Mytilus edulis: one gene and its partner. The protein of the gene in region 1 interacts with the protein of each later gene in a pairwise test. Links are inferred from orthologs where the notes say so. Each region holds a gene or a part of one and is shown on either strand. Other genes may lie near its edges.

Region 1 (7,287 bases):
ATGAGGGCACAATGTTAGGAAAAAACACTTTTGTAATGCAATCTTTTTTAAAACAGGTCTTTTCTTATACATTGACAAAAATGAACATGATGAATAACCTCTTTGTTTTTTCCTCCCAAACTCATCTTTCTTGTTGCAGATACATGTATGCTACTTTTAGGCATTCAGCAATTTTCCCATTTGTAAAGGGGCATAACTCTAGAAAAGTTATAGTGATGCCACCAAAATTCAATCTTAATCTGTGTTTTGTGGTAATAAGCATTGTGTGTATATATATACGTGTATACGTTTCTTAACATTTGGTTGAGGCAAACTAAAGTTAGACAACAGAAACCAACTTTGGGACCTACAGACAAGGGTAAATCTTAACTCCACTACGAAAGGGGCATAAACATGTCTACTTTGTGAAGTATCTACTGATGATTTACTTGGAAGAGTTCGTATTAGTTTAGTATCTACTGATGACTTATTTAGGATCTACAATTTACTAATGACTTACTTGGAAGAGTTCGTCTCTGTGAAGTGTCTAATGATGATTGACTTGGTGTTGACTGACTTGATTGTCTTTCTGAAGACTGACTAGAAGGTGTAGACTGGGTTCCCGATGACCTGTCTCCATCTGGAGGGGTAGTCTGGTTTCCTGCTAACCTGGCCAGACGTCTTCTCCTTATCTGTTATAATTAGTGGAAAATTAAATCTCAAACCAGATATTATTTTGTTTATAATGTGATCTCTATCTGCATTACTACTGACAACCGTGTTCGATCGATGACTTGTGTCTTTAGTCTTTTTGAGCATGTTGTGTTTTTTTTGCTTTGTGTCAATTTGATGAGGTAAGCCCTTTTCAAAAGATAGTTCTCATTGACAATCATACCCACAATTTGACACAAACAGTAGTCAGTATACAGCACCTACTTGAACACTATTTAGTTCTGACATTTGAAGTCATTTGGACTAAATGTATCTGACATTTTGTCAGTATATGTACATTGTAGTAAATGTAAATATTTCTATATTCCACATCATGGACAAATGATTTTCCATCCCAGAAACCTGTGCATCAGTGGGTAATACCCATGTTTAATTAGCTGGGTCCTATATATCATCATGGATACAACTATCATTTAGCTGTTAATAAGAATCCCAAAACATTTATTTTAATCTGAAATTGACTCTGGTTTCATACAATGGTTTCAGTTAACAGGTTAAAGGTTAAAAGTCAAAAGAAACAAAACAAAAAAAAATTGATGTAATTGATCATGTGCTTGGCTTACTACATGTATGTGTTAGATCTATTTGTATGGATCCATCTGATGAGTTAAGCATTTTTCAACTGATTTTTATACAGAATGTAGTTCATTTTTATGTTGTACCGTTACACCACGGTCATGACTGTCCTAGTTGAGGGTTGAGATCACACTTACATGTTTAAACCCACAACATTCTGTTTGAATGTGACTGTCCCAAGTGAATCTGGGACCGTTCCCGCCCATTCACGTTCGCACCCACTCATGTTCGCCCCCTTTCACTTTCGCACCCCACATGTTCGCAACCAAAGTCTGTTCGCGCCCAATTTTTATTGGTTTTGTGTTTAATAAATTTGTAATCAAGTTTTGGCAAGTAGTATTCCTAAAAGTATAATTGATTTCATTGTCTCAAAATAAAGCGAGACAGCATTTTTTAAGTGTTGAATAAATCTTAATCATGTTTTTGAAAGTGTATTGTTAAAAAAAATAATATTCCTTTCTAATTAAAGTGGGATTCTGTCAATGTTTTATTTTTTGTTGAATAACACTTAATCATGTTTTGTTTAGTGTATTGCCTATAAAACTTTGTTTCATTGGCTTGTTTCAAAATGAAATAAATTTTATCATGTTTTGGTTTATATAATAGTGTATTGCTATATTTTATTATTTCATTGTTTCAGATCAAAGGGACCAAGCTGTTAAAAACAATTATCTTTTGTGTTTTTCATTTAAAATATTTAATCTTTTACTCATACCAAGCTATAAATACATTCAGTATTTACATCAAAGTAATTAAAATTAACAATAATGATTTTCCAATTATTCAACTGGAATTTAAATTAAAATTGGGCGCGAACGTGTAGAGTGCGAATGGACCTTGGGTGCGAACGTGTAGGATGCGAAAGTATATTGGGCACGAACGGACCTGATACCGTCCCAAGTGGGGAGGCTGTGATTTGGTGGATGTCATTTGTTGCTGTGTTACATATTTTGTTTCGTTCATTTGTTTAGACATTAATTAGACACCTATCACTAATCCCGGCTGACCCGAGAATCCGTGCCACTTTAGCTATTGATGTCACACATAAATCCTTTTTATTGTGGCTTTAGATATTTTGTATTCTGATGTCAAAATTTGGCTGGAACCTATGTAATGTCCAGTAATGGCGGGCATATAGTGTATTAGTGTTTTGTTGAAGGCCATACAGAGATCTATAATTTCTAATTTCTGTGTCACTTGGTCTATTGCGATGAGTTATCCTTTTTTATATATGCAACACTTATGGGATAACATTTATTTATCAACAATAAAGTTGTCACAGGACAATGAATTAGATCTTCAAGACATAATGAATTATGACATTATCAATGTCTTTTACATCTACTTCTATGTGGTTAATCTGCAACAGAAATTTCCATAATGCAGATACAGATAATATACTTAAATGGATAATTATGTGATGTAACACAAACAGTCAAAGGGTTTTAAAGAGTATTAGCCATAATTTTATACATTCACTAATAATTTCGGTCAAAACATTGAAAATAAGGAATCATGACAAATCAATTTATTGTTGATTTTTTTTGGTTTAGCTTCAATAATCTACCTCGTCTGGAGTGAGTTCACTCATTTCTTCTCTACTTAGATATTTGATTCGATTTTTTCTACCATAAAGTTCCTTATTATTTTTAAATCAAGGTAAAAGTGTCTTTGTGTTTTCTTCTTTTCCAATATGTGACGTCACATTTTAACCCGGAAGTGTTCACTGTTATTCGCAGCTTTAGACAAAGCAAAAAAAACCCGAAGAGACCAATAACGAACCCCAAAACACATTCGACTCAAATACTCCGATCTCGGATGAATATTATAAAAGGGTTTGGATCGGGTTAAATGATTAAAGAATAATACCCTTTAAAAAATGAAGATTAGAGAATAATGAGGCCATAAAATGAAGATTAGAAAAAAGGGTTAATATTTTGAAGATTAGAGAATAAAGGGGTTAATTTTTTAAAGATTAGAGAAAAAAGGGGTGACTTGAAATTAAATGTTTACAGAATAACAGACCCCCTCCAGACCCTTTTGTAAGCGCGCAATAAAAGTTTTTTTCTTATTTTTTGTTATGGAACACCACAAACAGTTGTGTACGTGTATTAAAATGTGTCACAAATCTTAATACTTATTTATATTAATATATTTCAAGTAAATTGACTAAAATAACATTTGAGTATTTGAGACAAATACCTTGTCTTTTTGTACTCCAGATTTCGATCAACTTTGGAATCGGATTCAAAAATACTTATTGAGTGGTTCATGGTAAATAAAATGCAAGCAAATCCTGACGAATTTCAAGTTTTGGCTGTTGGCAAAAAGACCTTTGAAAAGAACCCATCTGTGTATATTCAAAATTCGAACCTCACATGTGAAAAAACAGTAAAATTATTAGGCATTGAAATAGACTACCAGCTAAATTTTGATGTTCATATCAGCTCAATCTGTAGGAAGGCATCACAGCAATTAAATGTTTTAAAACGTTTAGGCTTTGTTTTGGATAGACTTAGTAAACTTACTATATTTCATACTTTTATTCTTAGTAATTTTAATTTTTGCCTTTTGGCATGGCATTTTTGCACTGAGAAAAATTTCAAAAAACTAGAAAAGGTGCAGGAAAGAGCACTCCGTTTTGTGTATGAGGATTTTACCAGCTCCTACGAGGACCTCTTACTTAAAGCTAAGGTGCCTTCCTAGCAGATCAGACGGATAAGAACAATGGCTCTAGAAACTTTTAAAATTATAAACAACATAGCTCCTGTGTGTTTACAAAATTTGGTGAATGTCAAAAAGTCTAAATATTCTTTCAGGTATGTAAATATTCTTGAAATTCCACAGGTAAAGCTAGTCAACCCGTTACGGTAAAAAATCGTTCAAATTTGCTGCTGCTACTTTATGGAACATTCTTCCAAACCATTTCAGGACTGAAAACAGGTTTTCACATTTTAAAAGTCTTGTTCAGTCCTGGAACGGTTTGGAATGACAGTGTTCTGCTTGCAGATAATTCTTGAACTGTTTATTATTTATGCTGATTTTGGTTGCTCTGGTCAAGCATGTTTTTACTTCATTCGAAAATGTGTTGCTTATTTTTATTGCATGCTTTGTATGTGAGATTTCAATTTTGTATTACAGGTTGTTTTATATATGTCAAAATACACTGTTTTTATGTTATTTATATGTTTTTATATTCGGTCAAAAGCTCCTTAGAGCTTGTGTTGCTTATTTGTACTCATGCCGAATCAAAATAAAGTTTTCTTATCTTATCTTATCTTATAACACTATATATTTATACATACCGAATCTAGGATAATACTGTTTTCAGTAAAAAGTTAAGCAGGGATAAGATTTAAATCTAAAGGATAATTTATCTAGTATAGGTTAAGGGGCTCGAGGGTATCATAACTCTTTTTTTTTTAAGATAAAGGATATCGCTATTTTATCTGTAAATAAACTTTAAAATATATACGTAATAGCAAAATAAAATGAAAACAATGGGGTCATCGTCTATTCAAGCTCACGATCTGCCTACGAAAGGCATTCATTTTTTAAAGTACTTTTTTCTGTTGAACTTATTGGAGCAATAAAGGTATAATATCGAAATAAAAAAAGAACTTTTTTTACAGTAATTGCTTAATTTGTTAAAATCACGGTTTAGTTTAAGTACAGCTTGTTTGAATTTTTTTTATAGGTCACCGATGAGTTAATAAAAGCTATTTCAATTTCAATGCAAAAAATGGCATTTTTGCACCATTTTAAAAGTCATCTGGGGCAAAAACAAATCGATTTTTGTGTTGATTTTTTTGAACCATATTTAATATGGTTGCAACTAAAAGTGTATTAATAAATAAAACTTGTAACTAAAAATTCCACTAATTGCCTGTTCAGTTTCAGGTAATTTATAGGAGAAGGATATCATTGAGATGCATATATGACAAAAGTGGACAAAACACAGATTCTTGCAAAGAAAATAACTATTGGTTCGGTAAATTTGATTTATTCTCCAAAACCCAGCTTGGAAGGTTAATATGTCATTTGCTATGTTCTTTTTAGTGAAATTATGTTAAATACATACTCACTCTGTATTCAAATACCAGTAGTGAATTTGTTATTATTATGTCAAAATCGCAGAAGGACTGATACACACCTCCGGGTGCGGGATTTCTCGCTGTATTGAAGACCCATTGTGACATTAGGCTGTTTTCTGCTCTTTGGTCGGGTTGTTGTCTCTTTGACACATTCCTGATTTCCATTCTTAGCTTTACTCCACCCTCACACAAAACGTATTATTTTTAGTAAAATGAATGTCCCTGATTTTTTCAGTTGAGTATTCGACTTTAGAAGCTTGCAAAACATGAACTGATGTTGCCTTTTTCAATCTATCATCACTATGTCAGAAAATATGTATAACATTTCTATTATTTTGTCATAAATTTGGAATAATTATGTAAAATATATTCTTGATTATTTAAACTTTACCCTTTTCTATTCAGTAATACCATATAAAAACTGTTGAAAGCTTTCAAATGAGTTTTTTTTTAACTTTTCATTCTATAATTAGTTATCAAAGGTACCAGGATTATAATTTAGTACGCCAGACGCGCGTTTCGTCTACATAAGACTCATCAGTGACGCTCATATCAAAATATTTATAAAGCCAAACAAATAAAAAGTTGAAGAGCATTGAGGATCCAAAGGTACAAAAAGTTGTGCCAAATACGGCTAAGGTAATCTATGCCTGGGATAAGAAAATCCTTAGTTTTTCGGTAAATTCATAGTTTTGTAAACAGGAAATTTATAAAATGACCACATTAATGATGTCCATGTCAACACCGAAGTGTTGACTACTGGGCTGGTGATACCCTCGGGGACGAAACGTCCACCAGCAGTGGCATCGACCCAGTGGTGTAAATAGTTATCAAAGGTACCAGGATTATAATTTAGTACGCCAGATGCGCGTTTCGTCTACATAAGACTCATCAGTGACGCTCATATCAAAATATTTATATAGCCAAACAAGTAAAAAGTTGAAGAGCATTGAGGATCCAAAAGTCCAAAAAGTTGTGCCAAATACGGCTAAGGTAATCTATGCCAGGAATAAGAAAATCCTTAGTTTTTCGGTAAATTTATAGTTTTGTAAACAGGAAATTTATAAAATGACCACATTAATGATATTCATGTTAAAATAGATTCAGGCATTTTGTAGAATGCCGTTTAATTTTTTCCAGGCATTTTGAAAAATGCCTAGATAATTTAGACATTGTGTTTAATTACTGAATCTTGCAGGTATTTTAGAAAATGCCTTAAAAGTTTTCAGGCATTTTACAAAATGCCTAAATTTAGAAAATGCCTGTAATATATACATACAAAACATTGTTGTTGACAGAGGTCTGTTCAGTAGTCACTTTATATACACTGTCATTTTATAATCATTTCATTGGCTACCATCTTTTTGTTACTGATTACCCGATATCAGTCTATACATCAATACGTGGCTATGGTACCGGTGGAACAGCATTTTTTTGGCAGAAAGACTTGACCAATGCAGTTAATATAATGCCGGATGGGAATGATCTCATTCAAGTACTAACAACAGACAGTAACCCAAATTTAATATATCTACTAGTAATTGATTTATATATGCCATCTGCCCAAATTAGTGGAGACAATAGTTTCAAAGATACACTATATCAAATTTCAAAAATTATGGATAAATATAAAGAAATTTACCAGATCATCCTATGTGACGATATGAATGCACCCTTGCATCCTGATTATAGAAAATGAAACAAAGTATTTGAAGGTTTCACAAAGAAAGGCAACAGTAAAATACCACTGTCCGAAAGTCATAAATCGATTGAGACAACACAAATCCGGGTTACAAACTAAAGCCGAGGGAATCACATCAACTATACTATAAGAGGAAAATAACAAAACAACAGAAACAATGATTTTGCAAAAAAAAAACCCCAAAAACGACAATGCAACACACAT
Region 2 (7,733 bases), on another chromosome or scaffold:
TTGAAATCATAATAAATGTAATTCTTGAGTTGTCATATTTTTAACAGTACTGTTTTAAATAATATACAAATGTACGTAATTTCTGAATTGACTGAAAAAGTTTTCAATTTGTATTGATTCATATACATTTGTAAACTTATTTAATATTTACCTCTCATCAAACTTGCAATAGCTTCATCGTACAAACCAAGCTCAACCAAGGCTTGTCCCATGAAAAAATGTCCCTTCACTAAAGATCTGTCTAAATCTAAGGCACGACGGCAATCTTGTTGAGCTAAATCCCACTTTTTCATTTTTAAATAACATAATGCTCTATTTGTGAAGTAAGTTGATGTATTAGGACTTTTCAACTGAAAAAAAGATATGACTGTCACTAAGGTTAATTTTCTTACAAAGTCACAAAGCAATTAATTTTTTTTTTTAGGATGAAACATTTATGATCACAATTGGTGTATAGCTGTAATGTCATTCTGTCTTCCTTTGTGATTTATTACTCAATATTTATTTTCCAATAACTGGCCTGAATAATTATTATCTTTATACAAAAGTTTTCTTCAGACTTCCATGTAATTACTTATAGATGCTTTTGCTCAAAAGGAATAACCCACACAACTTTATTCAGTCTCATTTATTTAAAGAGTATGTGACCTGTCTGTGACATTTGTGTATACCTATTATAGGGTTAATCAATAGACCTTTTCAGAGCTTTGAAGCCTTTCATGTGATCCAGCCGGAAGTCGATATGGCCCAAGTTGTTTCCTAATTTCTTGAATACATTGTAATAACAAGACATTTAGTCAAATATTTTTTTAAATATTTATCACCTTAAACATGTTAAATGAGTGAAGATGATTATGGAGTAAAAAGCATTTGTGTTAATAATGATTTTATTAGAAGTTATAACATGTAAAATGAATATTCACTTTTGTGCATGTATAACTTTTTTCATATTAAAAAATAAATTGTACCATGTATATCGGTTAAAAAAATAGCAAGTTTTCAAATGACTGATCTTAATAAGTCTTTCAACTGTGTAATTATAATACATGTAGTTCCATACACAACTGCACAAGAAGATTCCCAAGGGGATGCACACAAATTTTTGTTTTTGTCTAAAGTTTAATATAATACTACTCAAATCAAGAAATGTTGTTTGATGGATGTCATTCATTATCAATGTTGATTTTTTCCTAAAACATATTCCTCTCATCATTTATTAAATATATATGATTTTAAAAAAATACACACATTTTTCATGTGCAGTTCCACTTTCCATGAATCATAAATGTAAAAACCTATCTTGATAGTTATTATTTTTTTACCATCAGGGTTGATTAACTTGGGCAGGTCAGGAATAACCACCAATTGGTGGATTATACCTCAATTGACGAATTGACATATAATGATATAGACCAATTGGTGAACTAAATCTTTGTTTTTCAAAGCAAATTATACCACCAAAATGGAGCATTGTTTTCTTAAAACCATATTATGGTATGAAAACTTGTCACACATTCCTAGTTTAGTATAGTCACATAACATATTGCATTTAATCAATAATTGTATTTGCAGTTTCTTCTATTGTTATCTTGTCAATTCTTGATTGGCAAATTAACCACTAATCACCTGTCAATGGACATCAATACTGTGTGCAGTCAAGTGATCATGAGTACAACTCCACAGGTGAATGGAGCTCTTTGTTAATACTTGACTTTCATTATCAAAAGTCAATAGTACGAATGTTTCAACAAAAGGATTGTTGTACACATGCATTCTCAAGAGATGCAGCAGGCTTTGACAAAACTGAATCTTTGGAGGACTCAATATTAATAAGGGTCATAAAATAGGTTGCAAGTTGCAAAATCATGCTCCTAACTCACACTAGCATTTTATTACAAAAAACCTGCATTATATGGGGACGAAGTCCCCAATAACAGTAGAAAATTCAAAAAAAAAAAAAAAAAAAAAAATCGGGAAAATTTTCCCGATATTTTCATTGTACTAATGAACTCAAAATCGTTCAATTTTTTTTTTGTCAGGTTTTTGAATTTCTGGATTTGCGCAGAAATCTACAATGTACTTCCTTTTTCCGGTCTCGTTTGTATGAAACTTTGAGTAAAATATATATTTATCAGTATAGTATAAAATAGGAAGGAACACAATTCCAATTTCATTTTTGATAATTCCTTGATATGAAAAAAAAACGCAAATAGTCAAAAAATAACATAAGGACCTAAGAGCTACGGTTCCGCAGATCCGCAAATAGTCAAAAAATAACATAAGGACCTAAGAGCTACGGTTCCGCAGCTACCTGATGATAGCATTTCTTTGTTTACATTGCATATGACGTCATAACTTAAATAACGTCACAACTAAAATCCCTAACAACAGAACCAAAATCGGAAACGTTACTGTATTGCCGTTTCTTTTTTTTTAACAAATATTTAGTTACAAAAAAATAATTCATACAGACTTCGTCCCCATTTACAGGTAATGCCTGCCTCATATTACGTCAATTGGTCTATACCCATATATGTCAATTGGTGGATTATATGTCAAGAGGGGTATAATCCACCTATGGGTGGTTATTCCTGACCTGTTGGGGACAAGATTGTAGCAGAATGACATGATAGTGATACCAAGTATTTACAAATTGTTGCTGAAACACTTTCAGAATTTTTGTTTTATAGGAAAAGAACACATCCAAAAATATTCTATATTGTTTACCAGTATATATAATTTTTCAACATAACTGGTGTACCATGTTGCAGTCTACATGTACATAAGATCATTATTCAGTCATTATTTCATTCACTTACAATAGCTTTTGAATAACAATTAATCGCCGAATCAAAACTTCTGTTTGCAAAATATTTGTTTCCTTGATTTTTAAGATCTGCAGCAGCACTCATACTTAACGCTCAGAGAAAGTAAAGAAGTAAGGGGAATTTAGCATGAAATCAAGATTTTTTCCTTAAATTCAAGGTCAGACATCTACTTGTAATTACAACGAAAATTGTCCTGTTTTCAAACGTTTCTATGACTAACAAAATATTAATTACAACGACGGATAAACCATGTAAATTTCCGAAATTTTTCAGACATTCTATTCGGCATTTAAACCATACAACACAACTTCAAGCTCTAGAGAGCTCTACACCAAATATAAAAACATATACATAACACAAGAACAATAATAACAACATGCATTACATATTTGGCATCTATATGTGAGAGACCTAGTTTGCCATTTTGTACTCATGCTGTGCATTTTCATGATGATCTTGCATGTGAAGTATGATCAAAAGTGTTTCTTATAAAAAAAAAAAAAAGAAGAAAGAATTATAAAGCACTTTTAATATAAACCAATTTAGAATATTAAGGTTGATACATTGATTGTTTGTTGCTTAACGTCCAGTGGCAAATATTTCATGCATCACGATGAATATAGGCTAGGTATACATAGGTTGGTCCGTCGGCCTCCGTAAAATATCCAGCATGCCTTCGGAATATATATGTTCTATAACATATATATATATATATATATATATATAGAACATGCAGGGTTATAGAACATCAGTTGTTCGACCTGTTAGTCAAGTGCGATTTGTTTAAATATACTTTTTCACTTTTTTGGTCTTTTGGAAAATGTTGTTTGTGCTGCATTTAGACCCTTCTACAACGAAATTTGTTTTACATGCACACGTATAAAAATTGCGGTTTGTATCCAACGAAATCATAGGTTTGAACGTAGTTTTCAATTTAGACTTGTATATATACAAATAGTATTGTCAAGTATTTCAATAACGGCCATGAAACGTAAGACTAATCTTGGTTAAACTTGGAATAACATTTTATATTCAAGAACACAGAAATTCAATATTAACACTGGCATAAGAGTATGATCCACTCTCTAACCATATGAATGAAAAATCGTAAATTTGAGATGATCTGTTTGACAATTAAAACACTGAAACTGGGACTATTATACTATACTGTGATGCTGTATTTTTTCTTATGTCCACCACGAAACGGGTCAAATCTCCTTCAGTATCTGGTTTTAGAATTATGAAAAATATCAGTGTACAGCTTAGCCGATGTGCTTTGATAATCTTTGATAAAAAAAAATCATTTTTGTTACTATTGCAATATAGGGATTGTGGGAAAAAAATAAACATGTGAATATGTCCACTACGAAACAAGTATATAGTCTGAATTTATTGTGAAGACTGGGAAAATGACTAAACATATAGTGTATAGTCTAGGCTTTTCATTTTACCGATGAAAAAAAAACGTATCAACAAACGAACAAAATAGTTTTAACTTATAAAATCATATGTAAACATTTCTATCCATGACCATTCTCCTAAAAAGTTAGATTTTAAAGTTAAAGTTGTTTATCGGGAATTTGTAAAATTCGTTGATAAATTTTCAGAAAAGGATCTTTGTAAAATTACATATGCACTGCATGAGCAACATTAAATCTGATATATGTGAAGTATAAATATCATTTTTGGCATAAAAAAAAGTTTTAAAAATTTGATCCGTATGATGTAATATTATTCATCAATATGTATTTGATTGTCATTTTCCTTTTAATTATTAAATGTGATCAATCTTTATGCAAAAAATGCAGACACTTATTGACTATCGACATATCATTATAATGTACATCGTAATAACAGATGTTAACTAAGTACACCGATTACCACTACTTTCATCAGCATCCAATCTGACGTCACATTTCTCAAACCCTCTAATCGACGTCCAATGTCACTTCATGTATCATGTATTGCCAAATCGATGTCCTATCGATCAGAATCTCCTCTAATCGATGTCCAATATCTTTTAATCCCAGTATACTAATCATTATTTGTTTTCCCTATAATGATTTTTATATTTTTAAGAATGGTAGAACACTATTTCGTATTTCTGAACATTCAACCACCCAATAAACGTTTAACTACAGATAACTCGGCACTGCAACTTTGAAAACTATTTTTATTTCTACAAACTTAAAAAAAGAAGGACCAAATGTCTACCGAATGTTAAGTTATGCATTATTTCGGATACAAATACATTTAAATTGGTTCACTTTCTCCTTCGATTTAAACTTTCAATAACAGACATAATTTTACCAGTTTGTTTAACAAACAAAAAAAAATGACCTAAACATGCTTTCAACAATATTGAGTCAACTCGCTCAAATAACGAAAACATTGAGATGTGACTATTGGCGATATTCTTTGCATGGTACAAGAAAATAGTTGTGTTAGACAAAAATAGCTGAAATTCTAAGAAAATATTAGAAATTCCCAGACACAAAATATGAAATTCCCAGACAATCTATCTACAACATTTAGAGTTGTGGTCCGCATGAAAAGGGATCAGATAAAAAATATTAATTGAAATTGAAATAACAATCTGTATACTTTGTTGATAAATTTATGAAAATTAATCCATTTTATTCTTATTTTTTTTAATCATTTTTCAAATTTTATTTGGTTCAAATAATTTTTTAAACTAAGACCTGGACAGCTACTTGAGACTGGAAAAACTATGATTATAGGGCCAAATAATCAGCTATCGATTTGAAATCTTATTCTTTCACGTAAAATTGGACGCCAATTTGAAGATTCCAAATATATCAATTTACCTCGAAATATAGGAACGTGACTATCATGTAAAACATAAGAGGATGAAAAATGATTTCTTCCTTACTGTCAAAGTAACAAAATTTCGTTACAAACCTTGTGATTGAGATAATTATAGATATTCCTATATTTCTATGTTGTGTCATGTGTACAATTGTTTGTCTGTTTGTCTTTTTCATTTTTAGCCATGGCGTTGTCAGTTTATTTTCGATTTATGAGTTTGACTGTCCGTCTGGTATCTTTCATCCCTCTTTTTCACAATCTTTTCGATTCTGAAAACTAGAGGTCCTGCTAAGTTCCCTTTTAGAAAATTCTTTATAAGGCTGAGTTTAGTGGGATGATGCGAAAGATACCAAAAGCCATTTATTTTCATGAGTCGAAAATAGAACGACAACGCCATGGCAAAAAACAACAACAAAAAAAGACAAAAAGACAAACAAAAGTATACACAACACAACACAATACAGAAAACTTGAGACCTAGCAATACGAACCCCATAAAAAACGGCAGTGATTGCAATTACTACGTAAAGATAAGCATATCTTGATCCACATGTAGCACCTGTCGTGTTACTAATATGAGTACTCGAGTGTACTCTTGAAGATTTTTTTTTCTTGTATATAGTTATGCATTGATCTCAATTTAGTTTTGTTGTTGCTTTGCATTTGTCACAAGCATATGTATATGCTCATTTATTATAACTTCTTAAGAGTAAACAATATATGTTTATGATAAATGAAGTTATATATCCATTACGCATTTATTTGTTTATATTAATCTTGTTTGTTTTGTATCTCAAGTTAAAGCAGTGGTTGCATTTGAAAGCAAACATTAGACCCCAACGCAATTTGAATAATTGTTTGTTGATTTATGTTAGTCAAGATACATATTAATAACGGTCCATATGTCTCGTTATTTGTAACTTGGGTGTAGCAAACATAAATAACTTGTCAAGTGAAAAACACAATACTTCATTATTACTCAAACTTGAAGAAGACAAAAATAGATATTGTATTGAATCATAATTAAAAAAATACAAATAACATATAAACCAACGATTAAACACAGTGAAAAGGTCGCGTTTTTTTTTAAACCAAATAATAAAATGTTATTACATACCATAAAACCCACGTTTGTCAGATTGTGACATCTTTTAAAAATGAAAAATATATTGACATCCATCATCCATGCAACTCCAAGCATTTTTTTTAAATTATCAATCTCAGTTAATACTTCTATGGTTAATATATAATAAGTACATCTTTTGTGTATCTTTATAAATCTTTTTTTCTCTAAAAAAAAACCCCAACCAAACCAAATTACAGTGATAAAGAGATACACTAAATATATATCACATATTGCATATATTACAGACATGCAAAAGTAAAATAAGCAATATAGATTACCATTTAAGATTTTAGTTTTCTATGTGTGTCTGTTCCCTTTTTTTAGCCAAGGTATTGTCAATTTATTTTCGACTTATGAGTTTGAATGTCTGGTATCTTTCGCCTCTCTTTTATAACGGCAAAGGGCCTAAGTGCTGATTAATAATTCTTCTAAATTTTCATGTTGTTGAGATCAAATACATTTTTGCTATTCATCATTCAATTCAATAAACCTTTAGGAATATGATTAGTTTCTATATTTACTTTTCTATAGCTATTTATTGTCCTCATTAGATAGTTCATCTAATGTGTCTTGTCAACACTGAGGTTATATAAGTATGAACCTTGACGAACTTGGCAAGTACATTCGTTTCTAAATTGACCAGGGTTGTAGGTTGTCCTGCCGCATGTCAGGGATTCTCTCCAGGCACTCCGGCTTTCTAGATGCTAAGAAAAAAACCTACGACATAGCCAATAGTACCAATGGTGGCATTAAACACCAACAATCAATCAATCATCATTAGATACAGAACATGTAAAAATATGATGACATTCGTCTCCAAAATCTTCCGAGCTACAAACTTCAAAGTTCTATTAGTTCTTGCAATATTTTGCTATCTACCAGTCAATGTTTTTATAAGACATGCGATAGTTTAGAGTTCTTTTGGATGATACTCTTTTAATTCTTATTGAC

Evidence for each region.
Region 2: the proteins of ubiquitin conjugation factor E4 B-like (region 1) and E3 ubiquitin-protein ligase CHIP-like interact in a two-hybrid assay, tested with the Caenorhabditis elegans proteins (2 studies listed by BioGRID). The link is inferred for Mytilus edulis from reciprocal best matches to the Caenorhabditis elegans genes ufd-2 and chn-1.

What each region holds. Positions count from the first base shown.
Region 1 is NC_092356.1:69,801,672-69,808,958, reverse strand, and holds the start of ubiquitin conjugation factor E4 B-like, read right to left. Parts: upstream 3,015-7,287; 5' UTR 2,879-3,014; coding exon 2,855-2,878; intron 672-2,854; coding exon 500-671; intron 1-499. UniProt on the Caenorhabditis elegans protein: Acts as an E4 ubiquitin ligase mediating the assembly of polyubiquitin chains on substrates ubiquitinated by another E3 ubiquitin ligase. The elongation of preexisting ubiquitin chains preferentially targets ubiquitin 'Lys-29' and 'Lys-48' residues.
Region 2 is NC_092352.1:15,888,196-15,895,928, forward strand, and holds the start of E3 ubiquitin-protein ligase CHIP-like, read right to left. Parts: upstream 3,006-7,733; 5' UTR 2,913-3,005; coding exon 2,820-2,912; intron 351-2,819; coding exon 152-350; intron 1-151.